Nothobranchius furzeri: one gene and its partners. The protein of the gene in region 1 binds, or shares a complex with, the protein of each later gene. Links are inferred from orthologs where the notes say so. Each region holds a gene or a part of one and is shown on either strand. Other genes may lie near its edges.

Region 1 (7,273 bases):
CTTCCTCTGTCTGAGGTTGACAAATGTGTTCAGTACTTCACCTCTCTGGCTCTGAGAGAGAGTGATCAGTCCATGGCAGCACAAAGGGTAAATGTTACAATCACAAATAACCAAAACTATCTCTGTGACGTCCTGAAAAGTTCAATTAGTTATTGACATGTGGAATCATTGGTGTTGTAGGGCGGTCTGTGGTGTTTTGGTGGTAATGGGCTGCCCTATGCTCAGAGCCTCACATCTGTTCCTTCAGAGAAAGTAGAAACTTTCTGTCTGCAGGCTCTGGTCCAGCACTCAAAGGTAATATTGTCCATCCACCCATTGTCTGCACCTGCATATCCACACAGGGCCGTGGGGGGCTGGTGCATATCATCAGCAGTCTTTGGGCAAACAGGCCATACAGAAAGACCCCAGGCTGGGATGCAAACCTGGGACCCCCCTGCTGCAAGGTTACAGTGCTAACCACTGTGTTGCTGTGCAGCCCAATGAATAGTGTGATACAGACATTTTTTCTTTCTTTTTACATCTGTATCTTTGTAGTCCTGCATTTTGCAGCATAGCTTGTCACTCAGACCCCAAATTTTGAATTAGGACTCCACCAGACGTTGCCAGTTCTGACTGGCATCCTCTCCCATCACCGAAGCCAACCCATCACCAGGTGGTGGTCAGTTGAAAGCTCCATCCCTCTCTTCACCTGAGTGTCTAAGACATGTGGCAGCAGATCAGATGAGTCGACGACAAAGTCAATCATCAAGCTGCAGTCTAAGGTATCCTGGTGCTAAGAGTACACATGGACACCATTATTCCTGAACATGGTGTCCATTATGGACAATCCGTGACAAGCACAAAAGTCCAATAAAAACACCACTCAGATCATGGGGCCATTCCTCCTAACCACACCTCTCTGAGTCTCGCTGTCATTTCCCATGTGAGCGTTAAAGTCCTCCAGCAGAACACCAAAAGGACCCCCAAGGACTCCAAAAGAGTGGGTAAACTGACCTGCAGTTTGGTGCATATGCACAAACTACAGTCAGGATCCGTCCCCTCACACACAGGGGGACGGAAGTCCCTGGGACCTGTCTGCCATGGGTCACCTACAAGAGACATGAAGCGCCAGACAACTAAGCTCTTAGGATCATCGGACACTCAGTCCCTTCCACCACGATAAGGTGTTATAGCTACGGTTTTTAATCCTCTGTAATTGACATTACTTTCTACATTTGGTCTGCAGGTACAGAGCCACTGTGACCTTATTGTTTCAAATGGGGGTCTACCTCTCCTTCAGAGACTGTACCAGCTCCGGAGGGAATCCCTAAAGATTCAGAGAAACATTGTTCGCATTATAGGAAACCTGGCTCTAAATGAAGGTGTCCACCAGGCCATATTCCAGTCTGGTAAGTGTGTAATAAATCCAAATATGCAATATGTTGTTGTTTTTTATTTGTTGTAATAGTCTCTGCTTGAAAATTGACATTATAATGAGTGTAATCGTGTTTTTTCATCTTTAAACCACCTTCAGGCTGGCTGCCTGTGTTGGCTGAGATGATGCAGTCTCCTCACATCATGCAGGCGTCTCATGCAGCTCGAGCTCTGGCCAACCTGGACAGAGATACAGTAACAGAAAAATACCAGGACGGTGTCTACATCCTCCACCCACAAACACGTGACAAGTAGAACAGCTGTCTTTTGAATTTATTCTCTAGATTTCAAAGCTTTATTCTTCTTCTTCAGTAGAACGCAACACTTAGCTTTGACATTGTGTTCATTTCCAGCCAGCCAATCAAAGCAGACGTGCTGTTTATTCATGGGATTCTAGGAGCAGCTTTTAAGACATGGAGGCAGAAGGACCGCAGTACGTTAGAGGAAGAGAGGGACGCTAAAGGCAGCGATGACTATACAGAGTGTTGGCCAAAGGTAACAGATCCTCAGAATTCTTAGAGCTGCACAAGAAACCAAATATGATCTTTTTTGGACAGATTTTGATGTTTCCTGAGGAAATACAAGCTTTAATTCTCATGTCTTTTTCTTCTTGGTTATCGGCAGTCATGGCTAGCTGCTGATTGCCCAAATTTGAGAGTGCTGTCAGTGGAGTATGACAGCCATCTGAGTGACTGGATGGCCAAGTGTCCAGCTGAGAATCAAAGGTGAAAATTTCTAGTTTATTCACTTATTTGTGGGGGAAAAACAAAACAAAAAAATGGCTAAATAGGAATTGAATCTAACTTTGTCCAGCAATTATCTTATTCTGCATAATTTATCCTACATCCTTACCTTTTATATCGTCATATTAAGTAAATTAAGTTACAATTTCATGTGATTTTTTTAGTAAACCCAGTCGATTGAGTGGAGGATTAGTTGTCTGTTTGTCTTTCCAGGAAGTCGTTGGCCTACAGAAGTCGAGAGCTGCTAAATAAGTTAAAGCTGGCAGGAGTTGGAGAGAGGCCTGTGGTTTGGGTAGCTCACAGTATGGGAGGTACTCTGTCTGTGCTGCCTTTACCACAAACTTGTCAGACTTTTACCCAGATTTCTGCAACAATCTCTTGATCACATTTCTGGCTATGTGCGACTGTTTCAGGAAAAATAATCAATCTGTGCTCTCTGGGATGTGACTCTCCTCTTAGGACTGCTGGTGAAGAAAATGCTGTTGGATGCTGCGGACGACCCAGACTTGCAGGGATTGATAAAGAACACTAAGGGAATAATGTTCTATAGTGTTCCTCACCGTGGCACCTTAATGGCAGAGTACTCTGTGAATGTCAGATACCTTCTATTTCCTTCTATAGAAGTCAGAGAACTCTGCAAAGGTGAGGGCTGTGATCATTCCTTCTAAAATGGCTTGAATTAAATAGTTTGTTGTCTGCAATGAGTCGATGTCTGTGTGTTCAAAGACTCCCCAGCTCTGCGTAACCTGAATGAGGGTTTTCTGAAAATTGCCAAAGAAAATGAAATCAAAGTGCTGAGCTTTGCAGAGACGTTGCCCACAAATATTGGTCCTATGATTAAGATATTTGTGGTCCCAACTCAGTCAGCAGGTATGTAAGATACAGTGGGGAAAAGTCAATGAGCTATACTTTTGATAAAATAATAAAAATCTGTCATCCAGTTTCTTACCTTCTCTTTTTGAGTAATCTCTCGTTTTGTTCCAGATCTGGGCATCGGAGAGCTCATTCAGGTGGATGTGGATCACCTGAACATCTGCAAACCAGAGAAGAAGGACTCGTTTCTCTACAGACGCAGCCTCCAGTTCATCCAGGAAGCACTCCAGAGATACACAAGCCAATAAAAGACATACAAGCACATCAGTAGTGACATTAAATTGTTTACTTGAAGTTTGAGGAACACTGAGTCCTTCCACCAACAAACTCAAAACCCCAAACCTCTTTTTGTACACGTTTACAACCATAATGTGAGATGTTAACAATCATAATGCAGACACATTTATTTCACACACTTACTAACTGTGATAGATAAACCCGAACCTCTGATTTGTTATCTTTTTACATTTTCCTCCCTTATGTTTTCATTTTTACCGGTCAAAGTCATGTTTCGAGTAAACTCATATTATGAGAAGTACCACCATCTTTCCATTTTAGACCTTGCAGCCACAACAAATATATATTTACTTAAAGATGCATTTTTAAAAACTGCTTCTATGTAGTTTTGATCAGAGTAATGGTTGAAATGTTATTTTTGTATTCATTCATTCTACTGAAACGTGTTGTTTTTTGTGCCAAATGGATTATTTGCCAAGCCTTTTTTAAAATGGCCCTGATTTAATATATTAGGTCAACTCTATTAATTTTATTACATTAATTATGCATCACAATGGGCCAACATATACTAGAAATGAGAATAAATCAAATGAATGAGTACATTTGTTGAGTTTGACTTGTCTATGCATTCATTAAATGATGTATTAAAATACTGAATACAACAGAATTGTTAAATGGAAATCGTTTGGTGTTTATTTTCTAACTTAATCTGACAAAAAGTAATTTAACAAGCATCCATTGCAAAATAGTTAAAAACAAATGTACATGTGCAATACTCACACACACATGCATACGTACGCATGTATACATATGTATGTATGCATGTACATACACGTACACGTTTGTTCAGAAATCTTGCATTATAGATCACTTGGTGGAATTGGGCTGGGAGTAAAGCACAGGAGCGTCAAATATTTTTAATAACAATTTTTCAAAAATCACAGTGAAATCGTTATAATATAAGCAGATAATTACGTGAAATGTACCAGATAGCGTGGAAGAACATGTTAAACGGAAGTGGCAAAAATGCGCATCCTTCAATGCTATAGTGGTAGAGGAAGATTGTCCCTGGTTGCTCGCCGTAGATCTTACCTCAATGCTACGGAACTTAGCTTAAAAAGCAGCTGCTGTTGGGTCTGAACGAGTAGTTTTACACGATTTCTTACCAACTTTAGTGTTCTCCCGAACATTGTGGTTGTTGTGGTAAGTTTTAATTAGAACGTTTTGCTTAAAAGTGTTGCAAAATACGTTGTTAGCTTGTTATTTTTAGCTTGTTTACTATTTCTCATGAATTTTCTCTGTACATTAACTGTCCGGTATGAATATGTGTTGTATATGCATACAGTATTTATGTTACTGTCGCAACATTTTTGCACGTTTTGTTTATTTTGCAGACTTTAATCAACTACACCTGTCATCATGGTGAATGTTCACAAGGGTGTTCTTGTTGAATGGTAAGGAACTTCAGAGTGAAGAAAACTGTAAAATTACTTTCTTCTGTAGAAAACTCCTACAATTATAATGTCTTTTTCCTCTCCATGTTCTGTTTCAGTGATCCTGCTATGAAACAGTTTCTCCTCTACCTAGATGAAACCATGGCTTTAGGAAAGAAGTTCATCATCAAGGATCTTGACGACACACACGTTTTTATCCTGGCAGAGGTGGTCCAGACTCTTCAGGAGAGAGTTGGGGAGTTAATGGACCAGAATTCATTCCCCATCACGCAAAAATAACCCTCAGATCTTTGACTTTCCTCTCATGGACTACTCAATTTGTTGTTGTTTGCTTTTGCTTAATAAAATGAGACATGTAAATGTTTTGGTTTGATAAAAGTGGAAGTGATCAATTGGATAAAAAGTTTCTATTTTTGTGGAGTTCTTTTTCACTTGTAGATGGGGAACAAAAATAATCTATTAAAAGTACTTGTTAATTCACACCATAATTTAACCAAATCAGATTTTTCATTTAATCTAGTTCCGATAGAAAAATAGAAAATCCCTTTATCCACAGTGGAGAAATTTGGGTTAAAGGAATATATGTACATATCTAGAATGGCATGCCAGCCTAGCAATTACATTCATGGCAGGAGCAAAATGAGAAAAATATGATAAACAAAACCTCACAGTTACCTAAGGCATTTGAAGAGGTACATTACAACAGAGTAATTATTGTGAGAAAATAATTCAATTGTTGTTTTTATGATATCAGGGATTCAATTAGTGCTTTCAGATAGAAACCAGAGAAGAAATTGACATTTCTCACAAATCTCATAACGTTAATGAAATACTGAGATAATGAGTTTTCCCTGTTTAAAATGTTTTGCCACCTTCAGTTTGTTCTATTGATGAATGAAATGACAGAGATACAGTTATAATTGTGAAAAGTCTAACACTAGACAGTGTCCCTAATGTTATGTTAGGTGGACAGAAACTGCAAATGTACTTTTAACATGTCTGAGGATAGAAATTTTATAAACGAGCAAATTCTACATCCGAGCATTTCAGTAATGTAACACAGTTGTTTCCTCCAGTGGTTAAATGACCATCGGACTGTCAGAGAGCAGCATGGAATGACAGAAAGAACAAGAAATATAAAGACAGCAGTGGTTCAACACAAAGCATTACATTGTTTGTGGAATGGTTTTGCAGGCTCTGGGACCTGATGATACCTGGACCCTACAAAGGTAGTACAGGTAGTCCTACTTCACCAGGATGACACATCTATATGTTCCATTGCCAGAAGGTTTGATGCATCACCCAGCACAGTCTCAAGAGTGGGGAGTACATTTTTGGAGGAGAGCAGTAACTCTCAAAGAGCTAAACAGGGCTGTTGAAGATCATTCACCCATCAGCAGGACCTGTATCTGTGGAAGGAGGAACAAGACGAGTACAGCCAGGTTTTTCAGTTTAAAGTTTTTGGTAACTTTTAATTACCAACTGTCTAGGTTGCTATTGTGCATTTTTTTCTTTCCTTCTAAGTACGATCTTATGTGTTGTCATGTAATTTTTATTATCTGTCAACTAAAGTGGCACAGTAGGTCTTTAAATTAATTTCTGTGGAAATAAATTGGAAACTCGACTACTTTCTTCTACAATCTGCTCTTTAACTGTATTATTTTCTGCTATTTCAGCTGTTAACTTTATTTTTTCTCTCCCCAGAAGAAGCTACAATGATGTTCTGCTGAGCTGTGGTAGCCTCATGTGGTAGCCATCGGCCTGAAAACTGCTGCTAACCATTTTTCCCTCTCCTGATAATAAATTTTTACTTGCTTTGACATTGGATGTGCTACTACTAGTTTACCCATTTAATTATAGATTCACTAGGATAAATACAATGAAGTTAATCTCTCACCAAATAGAATATTTACTTAGAAATCACAATGTGACCATAGAAACACTACTTCGTATATATGTTGTGTGTGTGTGTGTGCCTGCTCTGTCTTCTCCATCCCCAGTGAGTCGTGGAGGATGGCTGCTTATACTGAGCCAGGATTCTCTGAAGGTTTCTTCCTGTTAAAAGGGAGTTTTCCTCTCCACTGTCGCTATATGCTTGCTTAGTATGAGGATTGCTGTATAGTCACTGACACTAATCAGTGACTTGATGCAGTTTGCTGGGTTCCTTATATAGGAAACATTTTTTCTGATTGGCTTAATGAACTGACCTGAATTGGAATGTTTAAGTGAAGTGCCTTGAGATGACTCTTGTCGTGATTTGGCGCTATATAAATAAACGAATTGAATTGAATTTCTGAAATACGACATGATTTGAGAAACTCTGCTTCTTCACATGGTTTTATTTATACTTTTTACATCAATTTAAACTTTATGCAGCACTCATGTCTCCCTAAACCTCAGTTTAAGAAAAAGTTTTCACATGAAGTGCTATTTTTGTATATATTAGTGTGTTTCTTTTTGTAAAAATGACCACACTTTCAATGAGTTTTAATCAATTGGTCTGCTCAGAGGACTAGTTTTTGTCATGTGTTTGCATTCATGACCTTGTCATGA
Region 2 (9,048 bases), about 17 Mb from region 1:
AAAAGCTAATTTTATTGTTTAAACCCATGAAGTGTCACCAAAACGTCTTTATAGTGTATTTAGTTAAGAGGTTTTTTTTGGCAAACTTCCTTTCTAATCCTAATGTTCAACAGTCTAGCGTCTTTTAGACGTTTCTGTCGCCCCCAAGCGGCCCAGCCTGATCACTGCACGGTTATCAAAGACAATTTTATACGTTTTCTTGTGTAAATGCAGCAAATCCAGCCATATTTAACTCAGATTAATGGAAAATAATATATTTACCATTAGAAGAGCTGGTGGATCAATGATTTTTTTACTTGTCCTTGCCAAAGTCACTTCACTATTCAAGCATGTCTCCATGGTTAGAAACTGTAAGGTTTTTGTTTAGTTTGACTTTGCTCTCTAAATTGGTGTTGACAGGTTGGTCGTAAACATGAAGACAGAATATTTTTTTCATTCTTAAAAGTATTTAGTGGGTTTTATCTATTTTACTAGCCTGGCAAGCCAGACTAAATAATATATTTGCAAAGCAAGAGTTTGGTCTAGTTCACTAGGCTACTATTTTACAACACCTTGTGTACAGATAAATACCCTAAATCTCATCTCAGAAGATCAAATGATTGTTGTACTCTTTTTTAAATAATTAAAATAATTGCAAATATGGTAATAAATAAACAGCACTTATCATTATTATTAGTAAGAATACCACAATTAATGGAAATGAAACATTATTTTAATAAAATCTCTCTTAAATTGTGGTGCTTGTTGAGTTTTACTGTCATCCATCACCCTCTAAAATGTCTTACTGATGCATTACTCCGGTGGATCATTTCCCCTCCTTGCTCTTAACACATCTCAGATGTTTACTGGTTAAAGATTTTTAACAAAACACAAAGTTTCTGCAAATCACCAGTATTTTTATTGTAAATCATGAGTTTAAATGACCAATAGTTAGCTTTAGCTGATGCAGTGAGTGCTGGACCAAGTCAAATGCTTTCTGCAAGGATTCAACAACCTGAGAAAGTGATGTTCCAAAACAATAGATGATTGTGTCATCTGCATACAAATGGATATTAGCATCTTTAATATTTTGGCCCAAGTCATTGATGTACAAGATAAATAGGAGGGGCCCCAGGACTGAGCCCTGGGGCACCCCCCTCCGGACAACCCCAAGATCAGAGCAAAGATCCTCACATTTAACACACTGTGTCCTGTTAGTCAGGTAATTTGAGAACCATGCTACTGAGTGCTCTGACAACCCAAGGCTTAGTAATCTGTTTATTAAAATAGCATGGTCAACGGTATCAAAAGCTTTAGACAGGTCTATGAACAGTGAGGCACAAAACTGTTTCCTATCAAGTGCTACTATAATATCATTTACCACCTTCATAACAGCTGTAGTAGTGCTGTACCCTTTTCTAAAACCCGATTGACATTTCGAGAGGATGTCATTTATAGACAAAAACTCTTTTAGCTGAACACTGACAAGTGACTCCATTATCTTGGAAAGCACACTTAAATTTGATATTGGCCTATAATTTGTCAAAACTGCTGGATCTCCTCCTTTTAATAATGGTAAAACATATGCTGACTTCCACTGTGATGGAATTTCTTTGGAGTTAATTGAAAGATTAAAAAGAATTGAAAGTGGCTCTGCCACATAATCCGCTGCCATCTTTAAAAAATAAGGTTCTATAAAATCAGGTCCAGGTGGCTTTCTGTGATCTATGTTTTTTAAAGCTTTGTGAACTTCATGCACTGTAAAAGGTTTAAAGTTAAAAGGAGCTCCAGAAAAATTTGGGGGTATTATACCAGATTTTATCAAAGGGGTTCCGACAAAATTAAACAGGGAACCCACCGAAAGAAAATGTTCGTTAAAACAATTTAAGATTTCGAGTCTGTTATAAATTGGAACTGAATCTCTAAGAACAAAAGTAGGAAGAGCCTGAGAGATCTTTTCCACAGCAAAAGACTTGATCACTTTCCAGAATCTCTGAGGATCTTTAAGATTTTCTGTGGTGACTGATAGAAAATATTCAGATTTTGCCTTTTTGATCAGGGAAGTACATTTTTTTCTCAGCTGCCTGAAAACAGACCAGTCAGTAGTCAACTCTGTTGTTCTTGCCTTGTTCCAAGCTCTATTTCGTTCATGTATTATGTTTGCCAATTCTGGTGAAAACCAAGGATTTTCACGGCCAAAACATCACATAAAAGTTTGAACAATAAACTTCAGGTCCCACCAGTTCTTGTTAAAGAAGCTGCCAAGATAAAACAATCTTTAAAAAGAAACCTTGGATCAAATCACGTGCAAAATCATTCATGATTGAAAGAGTTATGAGCTCCAGTAATTCTAAAGTGGCCTGGTGCTTTAGTCACTATCCGCTGTTGAAGGTGTGCTGATAGAAGACATCAGCATTGGTGGAGTAATCCATACGGATGGAGGAACCTAAACTCTGAACCCCAAGGCTAGCTCCGCCCAAAGCAGAGGACTGCTGTAAAGTCAGGAGGCTGTAGCCATGGAAACGGTCCTTCAACTTGTCTGATGATGCGGCTTTTTCCAGAACCTCTGTGAACCCTGCAGAAACACATAAAACATGCAGATGAGACTTCATCCAGAGGGTTTCATGGACCGTTATTACCATCAGCGACACAGACCCGGCTTCAGGAGAGACCAGCTCTTCCACACGGAGCCCACACACAGGACTGGCAGGCCGCGCTCACACCTTAATAACGCCTTAAACAACAAAACAGAAGAGAAATGCTCCAGTTTCATACATGCAAAAGTGAAACCAGAAGGCTTGTAGGTGTGGTCACCGGTTGAGCTGCAGGTAAAACTGACTCTACATGTTTAGCCAGAACTCTGCCAACCTGAGCGAACACATGCTGGCTGAGAGCATCCCCAGCCTCCGCACCTGGGACACAAAACACTCAGGATGACACTCTATTGTCCTAGAAACCTGAGCAGAAGTCCTGCTGCTGCTCACCTTCAGCCAGCTTCTTACAGAAGCCAGCAAAGTGGGACTTCTGGAAGTTCCTGCAGAGGTGAGGAAGCATTCCCATCAGATCCAACACCTGGGAGTAATGTTTTAATTATTCTGGGTTTAAAAGAACAGATTTGTCTTTGTGTTGCTGCTGTCTGACCTGGAAGTTCTCCTCCATGGCTTCTGTAACCCATGTGATGTCATAAGGAGGCGCCACCAAGTTGTCTTGAGCGTCAAACACCGTCTTCACGGCCAAACGAGCGATCCAGAAAGCTGAAGAAGAGATATGATTAAGATCACTGTGGTAACCACTGTGCCGTGCTGCGACCATGCTGACCACAGCCCTGCTGCTTCAAGGTCAAGAGCTGAGTCCGGTTGCAGGCCTCCTGCGACCATGCGCGAAGCGTTAAAATATGCCCTTCATGTCTTGGATGAAGACCCATCAAAGACTAACAGAGTTCTTCTCCTCTCTTCTGCAGAACAGAGTGCACATCCTCCTGCACCTGTTGAACCTGCACATGACTCAGTCGCAACGACGAGTCCTCCAAAACTGAAACATGCCCCAACGGTGTGTCCTGTGGCAACTGTGAGGTTTGGTGAGGTTGCTTCCGTTAGCTCTAAACCTCGAGCATCCAATGCACCTGTTAGCAGGTCAGGTAATCCTTACTTACCAGACAAACCTCCACTTAAGTTTTTCTGTGATATCATCCGTAAAGCTCCCAAGGAGAAACCTCACATCCCAGTGAACCTTGTGGGATCGCTTGGCTGTGGGGCTATCCTGGACTCTGGTTCGGACCTCACCATCATGTCCCGTTCTCTCTGGGAGAGTGTCTGCTTGGCTGCGTGCAGCTGAACAGGGTCGTGTCTTAACGCTCAGACCCTGCGCCGTGGATCTCAATCCTTTAACTCCAGATCCAATGGCCTTGTCGTCTGTAGCTTTCCTTGGAGTTTCGGTGGGTGGCATGTCTGCGAGACACCCAGTGTTTGTGTCTGACATTGAGGATTTTCCTTTTCTGTTGGGCGAAGAACTGCTCAAGCGCTTAAAGCGTTTCATTCTACTCGGTGGATAATTGGATAATAACATTTTTATTAGTAAAAAGGCTTGGAGAAAATAATAATAATAATAATAATAATAATAATAATGATATTTAAAATAGAAATACCCTAAACAAATCTATACTGTATTATCCAATTAAAGATTCATATTTTATCAATTTAACAAAATATTCTCACATTTAAAAGCATTAATTATTTCTATATAACTCAATATCAAATTATCAAATACTCCTCCTGGCAGTGAAATCGTATTCTTTAGCGTTAAACTAACTGAACCAATAATAATGCAGAGCACGCTGCATTAAAAAGCCTGGTAAACTTTAATGTCAGGCTTTCCGCTTTAAAACTACATTTCCCAGAAGCAGCCACCCTGATTAGTCATCAAATTCCGCAAAAATCTCGCGAGATTTTCTGTCTGAACCTGCCCTATGTCTCGCGCACTCGCAGCTCCTTCGCTCAGTATATAAAGCAGGACAGCGGCGAGAGGAAGACGGCTGGGGAGTCGCAGCCCGGGACTGTAAATAAGACCGTGAAAACTGTGTTTTATTTACAAAAGTGATGCCGGCTGTTCTAAACGATCTTTCCCAGTTGTTTTAAGTCTTTTTTTGGTCATTTTTGGCTCTGTCTCTCGCCTATTTCCGTGTGGTTTTTACACTACGCGTATAATGGCGAGCTCGGCTAACTCGAACCCAGTGGTAAGGATCAATCTCAACGGACTGCCAGTCGGGGGAAACGGGGGTAAAGTTGTCTAGAGGATGTGGAGGAGATGGGTTTTTTTCAGATGAATATGCTTGAACTAGCTCATCACTCCTGAGTGAAATTATAAAGGAAATACTAACTTTGAATAAGCCATAATTCGAAACTAGATATTCAAATGAAAACATGGCACTGAAGAAGCTTCTGCCGAGGCAAGTTTTGAATGATTTTACATTAAATAATGCTGGTTAAAGTGAAAATTTGTAATTACTTCAGGTTGAGACTTTGTTTAGCGCTAGTGTGATTTATCAGTGGCTGTTACGAGTCTTGGTTTATCATTTGGAGTCAGTGTTTGATCTTAGTGCCGTTCATTTAGCCCAGGGTGGATTATTGGACGAATTTGTTAGCCAGCTGACGTATTTGAGCTTAAATATTGGAAACCGCACATCTAATCAACAGACGTACCCAAAGCACATCGTCAACATCCACTTCCAAGTAAATTCAACTAGAGGATCTGATATTAAAAAGCCATTTTAGCGCAAAGTCTTGGACGCAGTCCGCGGCGCTGCCTCGTCGTGGTCCACCATTCCAGGACCAGAGGCGCAGAAAAGCGTCCCGAAACCCATTTTTGACCCATGATATCTCCGATGTCCTGCTCCCAAAACAAAGCCACCGAGTCAAAACTGGCAATTAAACGCATAAAACGAGAGCCTCTTTCTTTATTTGGCCTCATTTCGCTGAAAGAAAACGGCTCTGTGAGCGGGGCCGCTCCGTAAAATGGCTTCCACCTCTCCCGTCTCGCTCGGTTCTGGCCCTCCTCCCTGCCGGTGGCTGGCTTTATACCGCCATATTGGCTGTCTAATATAGACTGCTGGGATGGGACGGTGCTACACGACGCTACGTCACCGGCCCGCATATAAACACTTCACTGAGCTTTAATTTGTGGAGGAACCGACTGTCCGAGGGGGAGGGAAGGACGCACCGAGGTGTCCACCGCGGACATCGAGGCAGGGCGGTATCTTGGCTGGAAAGTCTCCGCAGACTTGAACGCTACGGTTGAGCTAGTAACGCAGTCCCGGCGGACATCTATGTAATTGTTTATGTTGACAGACGCGGTTGTGGATAAGATCCGGATGCTGAAGCACAGTTTGGATTATAATGGAGCTGTGAAACATTAATCTTGATTTATGCCAGGGGCGTATCTGAGATTTTTCAGGGTACGGGGCCCATCAAGGGGCCACAAAATTTATAGAAGAGCCAAGTATTAGTTCAGTGCCCTTAGGACAGGATTGCTTTATTTGTCATTGAACCAGCGTCTTGGTGCGATGAAATGTAGTTTCAGTACAACCTCTCCAAGATCAGACCGGTAATGCAAATATGTAAAAATAAGTAAGTGTGTGTGTGTGTGTGTGTGTGTGTGTGTGTGTGTGTGTGTGTGTGTGTGTGTGTGTGTGTGTGTGTGTGTGTGTCCGGTTTTAAAGTACTTTAAAGGTACAATATTAAGGGATTTTACAGTCAAATAATCATGTTGGAAAGAAGGTAACATTGACACAAATTTCATCCTCATGAAGTTAAAGATGTCATGAGCCGGACAGGAAGTGACAAGTGCGTCTGGTATATTTCAAAATAAAACCTGTGTCACATTATTTTTGCTGGCTTTTGTTTTATTATTGATGGCAGGGATATTAGTTTAGTGTATGATAGTTCATTAGTGTCGTTACAGGTGTGCCTTTAAATGTATTGTGTAGGACTTCCGCAAATGACGAATCGTGTCATGCCTAAAAGTGGCTTACTGCACCAGATGCTGTAAAATACCCATCATTAAGTTTGAAATGTGATAAGTTATGTGGCATTTAATAAAGACAAGATGATAGGTTATCAATAAACTTATAATTTACTTTGTAACCTGTTAAAACAAATGCTACACAGTAGGGTTGCAAATGTATCACCGCGATGTCAGTATGTGCAACACGCATATCGACAATAATGGAAATAAATCACAACGAAAGGTCAGCACAAATGTTTGTTAAACATAATGCATTTTGTCAAACGGAAGCATGATGTTTTAGACAAATCACACAAAGCTCTTCACCCATTTGGCCAATCGGGTCGGTTCTCATAGGTTATATGCCCACCTCGAAGGTGGACGGCACTTAATCTGGATGGATAGCAACAACCAGAGTTAGCCTCTATCTGCTGATTCAGGGATCTACTGATTGCCATTTCTTATTCATTTATTTATTTGTTTTAGAATATTTTGTTCCTGAGATGTTTTTATTTATTGCAAGTAGGGTTGTCACGGTGTGAAAATGTAACCTCACGGTTATTGTGAACAAAATTATCACTGTTTTCGGTATTATCGCGGTATTTTTTTAAGCGTGTTACATTTTCAGACAACTAAATAAACCCTGTATATCAGGAAAATATTGTCCTCAGTTTGTCTAAATTTTACCTAAAATGTGTTATTTTGTAATTATGTTGTTTATTTGTTAACATTTTCCCCTTTTGTCTTTAAAATACCAATATTTGCCCATAACTACTTATTTTTTGTCTGTTTGATGTCATCATTTTAAAAATATTACATCAGATGATACTCAGTACTCAAGTAGCCTTTAGATACTTTTTTACCCTTACTTGAGTAATAAACCCTATATCAGGAAAATATTGTCCTCGGTTTGTGTCCTTCCAGTGAGATTTGCAGATGTGGGAAAATGTCATCAGGCAGTAATCGTTGTTAAATTCATAATTATTCTCAGAGAGAGACCAACTCTTATCTGCCCCTGGGAGCCCCGTAATGCATAGCGTCATTTCAACATGGGGGTGTCCGCGATTTATATGCAGGTAGCGGCGCTGCGGCTGCTTTTATAGCGACTCGTTGCATTTTCCCTCAACATAAATCCTCGGATCACGCATTTTAGCTAAAACGCTAACTTGCCTTGCGTTGACTGTAGAGTTGTGGGTGATGGTCACGCAGATGTGTCATGAGATTTGAAGCGTTGCTGCCTTTCACAGACATTTTTTCTGCACGTGCTGCAAACAGGATAGCCGTCTTCTGTCAACTGTCCCTCGGCTTTCTTCAAATATCCAAAAAACGTCCGTACTTCCCACTTTGTCTTCTTTGAGGGATAATAAATGTCCTGAGCGCTGCCGTCTCCTCCTTTGGCCATTATTTCAGCTTTAGCTTCAAAAAAGTTTTGGTTGTAAACAACAAAGTGCGCATGTGCCGCCGGCAACTTCAGCAGATGATACGGTAGCTGGTAAGGGTCACCGCGCCTACACCGCAGCCACAGTAATCCACCGAGATAATATAGTTTTTGAAAAACAAGACGGTTATTATTGTCAACTTTTTTACCGGGATTTACCGCTACAACGGTTACCGTGACAACCCTAATTGCAAGTCATATTGTCACCACAATATTAATCACTGTTATCGCGTATCGCAGACTTTCCTGGTATTGTGCAGTCCTGCTACACAGTCAAATGGAGGTAGGCATCTAAAACCAAAAATAAATTGTGCACAAAAATAAATAGAAGTAACTCTGTTGTTAGCAACTAACGAGGAAATTAGCTTACAGAGGCGACTCTTTGTTCGCCGCCGTGACGTGCTTCCTTTTAAGGTGCTCATGCAATGCCTTTGTAAAATGCTCCCAAACCTTTGAGCTACGTTGCCGACTCGCCATGATGTCTCTTGCTCTGGTGATTCTATTTCGAAGGCTGATCCGGATGGCCACCACCGCGCATGTGCCTCAAGCAGAAAACAGCCACTGATGATGCCACAGCAGGCGAGGTTTAACAAATGCTCCTAGAGTAAATGCAACACGCTTAAATTCAGTATGTGAGTGAAACAAAACACCCAAATTCCTTTTTGGCTCATTAGCACCACTAGTGTTTGGACTTGGAATTGCATCTGCCTATAATCTGATCTTTGTATAAAGGTGACAAGCAGGGTTACTTCAGGGGGCCTGTCAAATTTCAGCAGGGGCCATTCCCCCGTGGCCCCACCCCTTGAACCATCAAGCATTTATGCTGACCTGACAGGATTACAGGGTCTAATAAAGATGTTTAGTGGCTGGTAGTGAAGTTACACCAACAAAAAACACCACGATCGTGATTAGTTATCCCAAATTAATAATTGTGTTAATAAATAATGTTAATATCTGAACAAAAAATTTTTTTCTCTTATGTCATCCTAGCCTAAATTGTACCGGTCTGTGATTGAAGATGTCATGAGCGAGGTACGGGAGCTGTTCCTGGATGAAGGAGTGGACGAGCAGGTTCTCCACGAGCTGAAAACGGTACGTTTTCTGCAGGAGATGGTTTCCAGATGCAACAGGGG
Region 3 (7,504 bases), on another chromosome or scaffold:
GCTGAACTTGAAGTTGGTTGGAACATGCCAATAGGGCTTGCGACCACACGTGATTAAGCATAGCATTCTGGAGACGGCACAGACCTTTAGGCTGCGAGTTGCCCACATTTCCAACCTGACTCCAAGTTGGAGCCCTGAACAAATTTGCAGACATGCATCTAAATTTTGCTGCTGCCAGCTTCCATCCTGCATGTCAAAAATTTGAGACTGTTGCAGATTGAGCTTGTGTTGAATTTTTTCCCCAAAGCTTTGGTTTGCCTCAGGGAAAACGGAAGGTCAGAGCAGACAAAGAGCTGCTTTATAGTGAAGTGGGAAAACAAAAAGGTTGACGTGAAAGAGCACGTTTGTAGCATCAGCAGTCACGAGGGCATGGTTTTAACACTTCTTCCTCTTTGGAAAGAAGCCAGTTTTTCCGACACCATCCATTTAAACCAAAGTTAAAAGCCAAGTTCACGCAGCAAAGTGAAAGAGATGTTTAAATTCCCCCTCATTCTCTCAAATATGTGCTCACGTCTCATGGATCTCTGGGCTTCCTCCTCGTTTTCATCATCACTATTAATGACCATGGTGCCCAGGTCCGACTCCAGCATGGTGCTGTGCTCAATCATGGTCTGTGCCCCGTCGCTCATGGTGCTGGTGGCTCGCATGGTCCCCGCGCCCTCGGTTCCAGACTTCACCATGGTGTGAGAGTCCACCTCCGTCTCGTCCTCCTATAGGAGACAAACCCCTGCAGTATAAACGTTTTACTGGAACTTTATTGGTTAATGCACGTGAACAAAACGTACAGAGTTGTCCTCTTCCTCCTCTAGCTCTCTCTGCTGCTCCTGCTGCCTCTTCGCCTTCATCTCCATGGCTTCAGTGATCAGATCTCTCAGGATCGTGACCGGCTTGGCCTGGCTGATGAACGGATGCTGCGTTTCCACAACAGGAAAAGGAAATTAAATCGCTCAGATTGGAAGCAGGATTGTACAGATGAAGACCTTCTTGCTCCAACCTGTAGTAACTGAGTTGCAGTTGCTCTCTGCTCTGGGTTTTTAACCAAACACTTCTTTACAAAGTCTGTGAAATCGTCTGACCAAAGCTCCGGCTTCCGAAACGTAGGAGGGGGGTTGGTGGGGATCATAAAGATGGCCTGTGGGAAATCAAAAGTGGGAAAGTGTCAAATGTTTTCTTTTAAAACCCTAAATTCATTAAAAACTAAAGAATACGCACCCTCATAGGATGGATGTCAGCGTAGGGAGGTTTACCCTCAGCCATTTCTATGGATGTGATACCCAGAGACCAGATGTCTGCAACACAGTTGTAGCCGATCTCCTGGATCACTTCTGGGGCCATCCAAAATGGCGTCCCAATCACAGTGTTCCTCTTTGCCATCGTGTCCTTCAGACATTAAACACATACCATCAAAATTCAGCCAGAGATCGACTGAAGCTGGCATCAGTGCATTGCTGCAAACATTTGGCGACAGTGTTACCGTAAGCTGTCCTGCAACGCCAAAGTCAGCCAGTTTGGCGTGCCCCTCGGTGTTGAGAAGGATGTTTCCCGCCTTGATGTCGCGGTGGATCTTTCTCATGAAGTGAAGATACTCGAGACCCTTCAGTGTTGACTTGAGGATGGTGGCAATCTCCTCTTCTGTCAGCTGACGTGGGAAAAAAAGGAAAATACAAAAGTAAATCAGCAATTTAACCTATTTTATGAGCCAAGCTGTAACTTTTTAGAAACGCGCACCGTTTTGTTTCTCAGCCTGATGATGTCAGAAACAGAGCCGGCTCCGCAGTACTCCATGACTATCCACAGATCTGTGTTTTTAAAGTAGCTGCCGTAGTATTTCACAACATACGGGCTAAGAGGAAGGCAAACAAACGTGGTTCTAAAAAACTGGTGCAAAGGCGACTTTGGACAGTCTCATTCATTAGAATTAAAGAAAGTTGGGGTGTCACCTGTCACACTGCTGCATGATGGAGATCTCCTTGATGATTTCCTGCAGGTCAGACTCCACAGGAACCTGCTTGATGGCCACCACCTGCCCTGACTCTTTATGAATGGCTTTAAATACACTGCCATAGGAGCTGATTACACAAAGAAATGCATCTTTTAAGTGAAACTACTAAATAAACTATGATTTACACAGTAATTAGATCAAGTTAAAACATCTCACCCTTCACCAAGTTTCTCTAAAACATCAAACACCTCCTCCGGCTGCTTGGTCAAGCTGTCCTCGCTCAGCTTTTTCAGCTTGCTGAAAAATTCAGCAAAAATATTGTGTATTTAACACAATGTCTCTTTAATAATGGAAGAAAGACACAATATTTCTTTATATATGCACATCAAAGTTTATTTTATAGAGTAAACATTACTTTCTGTAGGAGAACTTGAGTGTGTGTTTATAACTTAAGAGGAATGATGAAAATAATTGATGAAATCTAGATAAAAATACTGTTTAAAAAAATTTTGAGATATTTTTGGTCTTTGATCATAATCTGGATTTAATGCAACCTAGTATCAATGTACACAAATTAAACAGATAATAAACAATTTAATCCTACTGTCTTATAAAATTTAAATACATTTTAAATTTAATTAACTTAAAAGGTGCTAGCTTAAGCTAACCAGTAAATAGATCGGTCCAAAATAAAGTAAACAGTTACTTCGAATAAATTATGATTTTCCTTAATACACATTTAATTTATTATATATTTTTGAAGCGACAATGAAATCACCCCCAACGACGCGAAATCCAAAAACGTCTAAACAATTAAACAAACCATAATCTCAATGGAGGTTTTAACCGGTTTTGTGTTTTTACTTTCTGCTTGTTTATCTCTGTGGAAAGTTTGAGAGAACTGAATTCGCTTAGCATTAGCATCCTGAGCTACCGCCTACATTAGCCTGGTGGTAAAGCAGAGGTCTCAAAGCAAACGTTCACAAACCTTTTAGGCGCGGACGGCTCCATGGTACACCAACTCGGAAACAAAAGTCAAACAAAGTATGAAAAAGAGAGCGCGGGTTTGTCAGTGGTAGTCAAGACGTGGACATTGTCGGCAGATTCGTTGTTGTCACAAACTAGTGGAGGAGGGCCAGCTGGGGGGAGCTCTTCAAATGATGGACATTCTTGTGTTCGACGCTGCGACAGCGCCCCCTGTCGGGACGGAAGCGCACTTTACATTGTTTTATTTTACAAAAACACAATTACGAATCAGATTGACAATGTTTGGCTCGAGTCAAAAACAAAAACTCTAAATAAAGTCTAATTTATTCATAAGGTCCCAAAAGAATACTAAATTAAGCCAGAATTTGTAGCGTAACGGTAATTGAAAAATGAAACACCCGTGTTGTGGATTTGCTTTCAAGAGGATGTTGTGTCAAGACAGGAACATTTTTAGTATAAAATATACAAAAAAAAATTCTTTGCTTCCAATTTTTAAAATCAGTTCAGATGTGTTTCGAATAATTCACAATGCCTCAAAACCGCTGGGTGACAGTAAAGGCACGTAAAGCGTGTCGATCGTCCTGTAAAACCAAGAAGAAGAAATTTGACGCAAGCGCAGAAACCCAATCGTAAAAGCGGATGGTTTAGTGTGTGAAAACAGTAAACATTTCCCAAATTACGCAGTTAAACGGTGAGTCATTTCGCTTCCTTTCATCAGTAATTAACTAAATGCATGTACACGGTTTAATTTGTGCTCTGTGCGTATACAGTTTCACCAAATTCAGAGACGTTTATGCAGTTTTGAGCTAATGTCCGGAGCACCATGCTGTTTCTGTTAGCATGCTAACAAGAAGAAGGGTTGTTGATGAAATGTTTACATTTCTGTCTTTTATAGAACAAAATGGACACACAGAAAGATCTACAGCCGCCCAAGCAGCAACCAATGATCTACATTTGTGGAGGTTTGCTGATGAAGCAACTATCATTGCAATTCTTGATGGTTTTATTCACGAAATATAGAAAAGTCATCAGAAAAATACTAGTTATGACTAATTAAAACATATTTCTTATTAGTAAATATTCCATTTTAGCCTGACAGCATGTAAACGTCGATTGTTAATGTGTTTGCACAATTATACTGTTCTAAATTAATTTTGCAGCAGTTCTGAAATACATTTATATGTCTTTATAAATGTATATATTTTTTTTTTATGCAGAGTGTCACACTGAAAACGAAATAAAGGCCCGCGACCCGATCAGATGCAGAGAATGTGGCTACAGAATCATGTACAAGAAGAGAACAAAGAGATGTATCCTTTCTCTCTCTCTCTCGTGTGTGTGTGTGTGTGTGTGTGTGTGTGTGTGTGTGTGTGTGTGTGTGTGCTTATTTTCCTTGACTCATTGATTCCAGTGGTTGTTTTTGATGCACGATGAAGAGGAGTGGAGCTGCAGATTGATCTTTAGTTGTTGTTTTCTGTTTTTATTGAGTCTGACCTTGTAAATAAACATAAACTGGGGCTTCAGCTTTCATGTTGGTGTAGATTCTCGCTCATTCGGGTCGTGGCATTCCTAAATTGCACTTCTTGCTGAAACATCTTAGAGCAGCAAGATAAATTCAGCCTTTTTGGTTTTTGGCATCCGCGGTTTGTGTCAGGTGTTCCTTATGTTATTTTAGTAAATAATAATGATGCATAAAAGTTTTATTTTAGAAAAATCAGTTTGATTTGACTGTTTTCTTTTAAAATCCTTTGTGGCCAGCAACATTAACAGGATGAAAACTCTTCAGTTAGTTTAACACATCTGCTAAATAGATATGATCCACAGTCATTCCTGAAATAAAAATCAACCTTTAGGATTTAAATTCAAAGTTTTAACCACATTTCTCTAAGAAGGAAAATTCTCATCTGCTGGCCAACAATTCACAGATTCACCAATGTTTTTTGGTTTGTTTATCTGAGAGCACGTTGTCGTGTTTATTTTAAAATTTTCATAATCTTGTTAAATTATGGGGTCTCATTTCTAAGTGAGACTTGTTTTAATCAAACATGCAAGAGAAGAAATTAGTAACAAGAATATTTAGTTACGAAGAAGATTGTAAAAAAAGTGTCTAAATAAAATGTGGAAAGAAAATCAGTTTCTCAAAAACGTTTGACTCAAAAATATTTAAGTGAAGAAAAGGTTTTTGTTAGCTTTTACAAATTCAATTCAATTCAAGTTTATTTATGTAGCGCCAAATCACGACAAGAGTCGTCTCAAGGCACTTCACATAATAAACATACCAATCCAGGTCAGTTCATTAAGCCAATCAGAAATAATGTTTCCTATATAAGGAACCAAGCAAATTGCATCAAGTCACTGACTAGTGTCAGTGACTATACAGCAATCCTCATACTAAGCAAGCATAAAGCGACAGTGGGGAGGAAAACTCCCTTTTAACAGGAAGAAACCTCCAGAGAATCCTGGCTCAGTGTAAGCAGGCATCCTCCACGACTCACTGGGGATCGAGAAGACAGAGCAGACACACACACACACACACACACACACACGTGCGCACACATACTCACACACGCGCACACACAAAGACACACACACACACACACGTGCGCACGCATACTCACACACGCGCACACACAAAGACAAGTAATGTGTCTATAGTTATATTGTGATGTCTTAGTAAATATTCTATTTGGTGAAAGATAAACTTTATTGTGTTTGTTCTAGTGGATCTATAATTAAACGGATAAACTAGTATTAGCACATCGCACGTCAAGGAAAGCAAAAAGTTATTATCAGGAGAGGGATAATGTTTTAGTGGTTAGCAGCAGTGTGCTAGTCGATGGCCCCCTCCATGAGGCCACCACAGCTCAGCAGAACATTGTTGTAGCTTCTTCTGGGGAGAAAAACACTTACAGAGAAAATAAAGTTAACAGCTGAAATTGCAGAAAATAATGCAGTTAAAGAGCAGATTGTAGAAGAAAGTAGTCGAGTGTGAAAAGTGGTCAGTGTATCCTCCAGCAGTCTAAGCCAATAGCAGCATAACTACAGAGATAACTCTGGATAATCTATCCTATTTAGTTGGAGGCATGTTGGAGTCAGGGCAAGGGAGAGCCGTCTTTACCGACTGTACACTCCACCTCCCTCTACTCCCCCAATTGTCCAGATTTAGGCTAACATCAGATTTTAACCATAGGCCCTATCAAATAAAAATGTTTTAAGCCTATTCTTAAAAGTAGACAAAGTGTCTGCCTCACGGACTAAAGCTGGAAGCTGGTTCCACAGGAGAGGAGCCTGATAACTAAAAGATCTGCCTCCCATCCTAATTTTAGATATTCTTGGAACCACCAGTAGACCTGCAGTCTGAGAGCGAATTGCTCGGTTAGGAACATATGGAACAATCAGATCACTGATGTATGATGGAGCTTGATCATTAAGAGCTTTATATGTGAGAAGGATTATCTTAAAATCTATTCTGAATTTAACAGGTAGCCAATGTAGGGAAGCTAAGACAGGAGAGATATGATCTCTCTTTTTAATTCTCATCAGAACTCTAGCTGCAGCATTTTGGACAAGCTGAAGACTTTTGACTACATTCTGTGGACTTCCTGAAAGTAATGAATTACAGTAATCCAGTCTTGATGTAATAAATGCATGAACTAGTTTCTCAGCATCACTCCTGGAAAGGATGCTTCTAATCTTAGCAATATTCCGAAGGTGGAAAAAGAAAGTCCTACAAGCTTGTGAAACCTGGGATTTGAATGACATGTCCTGGTCAAAGATAACACCAAGGTTCCTTACTTTGTTCTCGGAGATTAATGTAATGCCATTCAGGTCAGGCGATTGGCTAAGCAATTTCCTTTTCTGGATTTCTGGTCCAAAGATGAGAACTTCCGTCTTGTCTTGATTTAAAAGCAAAAAGTTTAGAGTCATCCAATGTTTTATGTCCTCAAGACAAGCCTGTAATCTACCCAACCGATTAGGTTCATCAGGGTTAATGGATAAATATAGCTGAGTATCGTCAGCATAACAGTGGAAGTTTATCCCATGCTGTCTAATGATTTTACCAATTGGGAGCATATATATAGTAAAAAGAATTGGTCCAAGCACTGAACCCTGTGGTACTCCACAAGTAACCCTGGAGTATGAAGACGATTTGTCGTGTACAAATCAGAAGTGGCCTAGGAATAGCAAAGTATGAATTGACATAGTCAGGAAGACGCAGTATGTTAACAAGTGAAACAGCAACTTGTAACTCTTTTCACTTGCTTATGATTTTTAAGTCTTAATTTGTTATCTAAACCATATTTTTTTCATTGGAAGAGGTGCAAAGAATAACAAAATTTTAAAAGCAGAGGAAACAATAACAAAAAACTAGCCAATTAATTACTCCTGATACAATTTAAGGGCCAAATCTTCATATTTTCATGTTTTTAATAGATTAAATTAACCCCCAAGTGTAATTATATAGATATAGATCTGGTTATGCGTGTTCATATTAACCCTTTAATTTTTAGGTCAAATGCTTGATAAAAACATTTAAATCTTTGAATTTAACTGCACTGAACTCAATACTAAATA

What was found. The genes of interacting proteins can lie anywhere in the genome.
Region 2: gtf2h5 (region 1) and gtf2a1 share a complex: the UniProt entries of both Homo sapiens proteins name them as parts of the TBP-based Pol II pre-initiation complex. The link is inferred for Nothobranchius furzeri from reciprocal best matches to the Homo sapiens genes GTF2H5 and GTF2A1.
Region 3: gtf2h5 (region 1) and polr2k share a complex: the UniProt entries of both Homo sapiens proteins name them as parts of the TBP-based Pol II pre-initiation complex. The link is inferred for Nothobranchius furzeri from reciprocal best matches to the Homo sapiens genes GTF2H5 and POLR2K.

The regions. Positions count from the first base shown.
Region 1 is NC_091742.1:2,692,062-2,699,334, reverse strand, and holds gtf2h5 (general transcription factor IIH subunit 5), read left to right. Parts: upstream 1-4,329; 5' UTR 4,330-4,469; intron 4,470-4,660; 5' UTR 4,661-4,685; coding exon 4,686-4,720; intron 4,721-4,818; coding exon 4,819-4,999; 3' UTR 5,000-5,134; downstream 5,135-7,273. Other genes in the region: protein SERAC1, read left to right, coding at 1-87, 181-294, 1,226-1,388, 1,514-1,664, 1,767-1,908, 2,038-2,138, 2,370-2,467, 2,616-2,798 and 2 more. UniProt on the Homo sapiens protein: Component of the general transcription and DNA repair factor IIH (TFIIH) core complex, which is involved in general and transcription-coupled nucleotide excision repair (NER) of damaged DNA and, when complexed to CAK, in RNA transcription by RNA polymerase II.
Region 2 is NC_091742.1:19,635,377-19,644,424, forward strand, and holds the start of gtf2a1 (transcription initiation factor IIA subunit 1), read left to right. Parts: upstream 1-3,703; 5' UTR 3,704-4,681; coding exon 4,682-4,711; intron 4,712-5,177; exon of another isoform or gene 5,178-5,293; intron 5,294-5,950; exon of another isoform or gene 5,951-6,078; intron 6,079-8,905; coding exon 8,906-9,007; intron 9,008-9,048. Other genes in the region: N-acetyl-D-glucosamine kinase, read right to left, coding at 2,355-2,554, 2,635-2,713, 2,794-2,891, 2,964-3,051, 3,121-3,291. UniProt on the Homo sapiens protein: TFIIA is a component of the transcription machinery of RNA polymerase II and plays an important role in transcriptional activation. TFIIA in a complex with TBP mediates transcriptional activity.
Region 3 is NC_091759.1:1,438,751-1,446,254, forward strand, and holds polr2k (DNA-directed RNA polymerases I, II, and III subunit RPABC4), read left to right. Parts: upstream 1-3,488; 5' UTR 3,489-3,620; intron 3,621-3,824; 5' UTR 3,825-3,830; coding exon 3,831-3,891; intron 3,892-4,146; coding exon 4,147-4,239; intron 4,240-4,340; coding exon 4,341-4,363; 3' UTR 4,364-4,459; downstream 4,460-7,504. Other genes in the region: stk3 (serine/threonine-protein kinase 3), read right to left, coding at 512-710, 786-911, 995-1,132, 1,213-1,380, 1,475-1,639, 1,729-1,843, 1,941-2,069, 2,159-2,239 and 1 more. UniProt on the Homo sapiens protein: DNA-dependent RNA polymerase catalyzes the transcription of DNA into RNA using the four ribonucleoside triphosphates as substrates.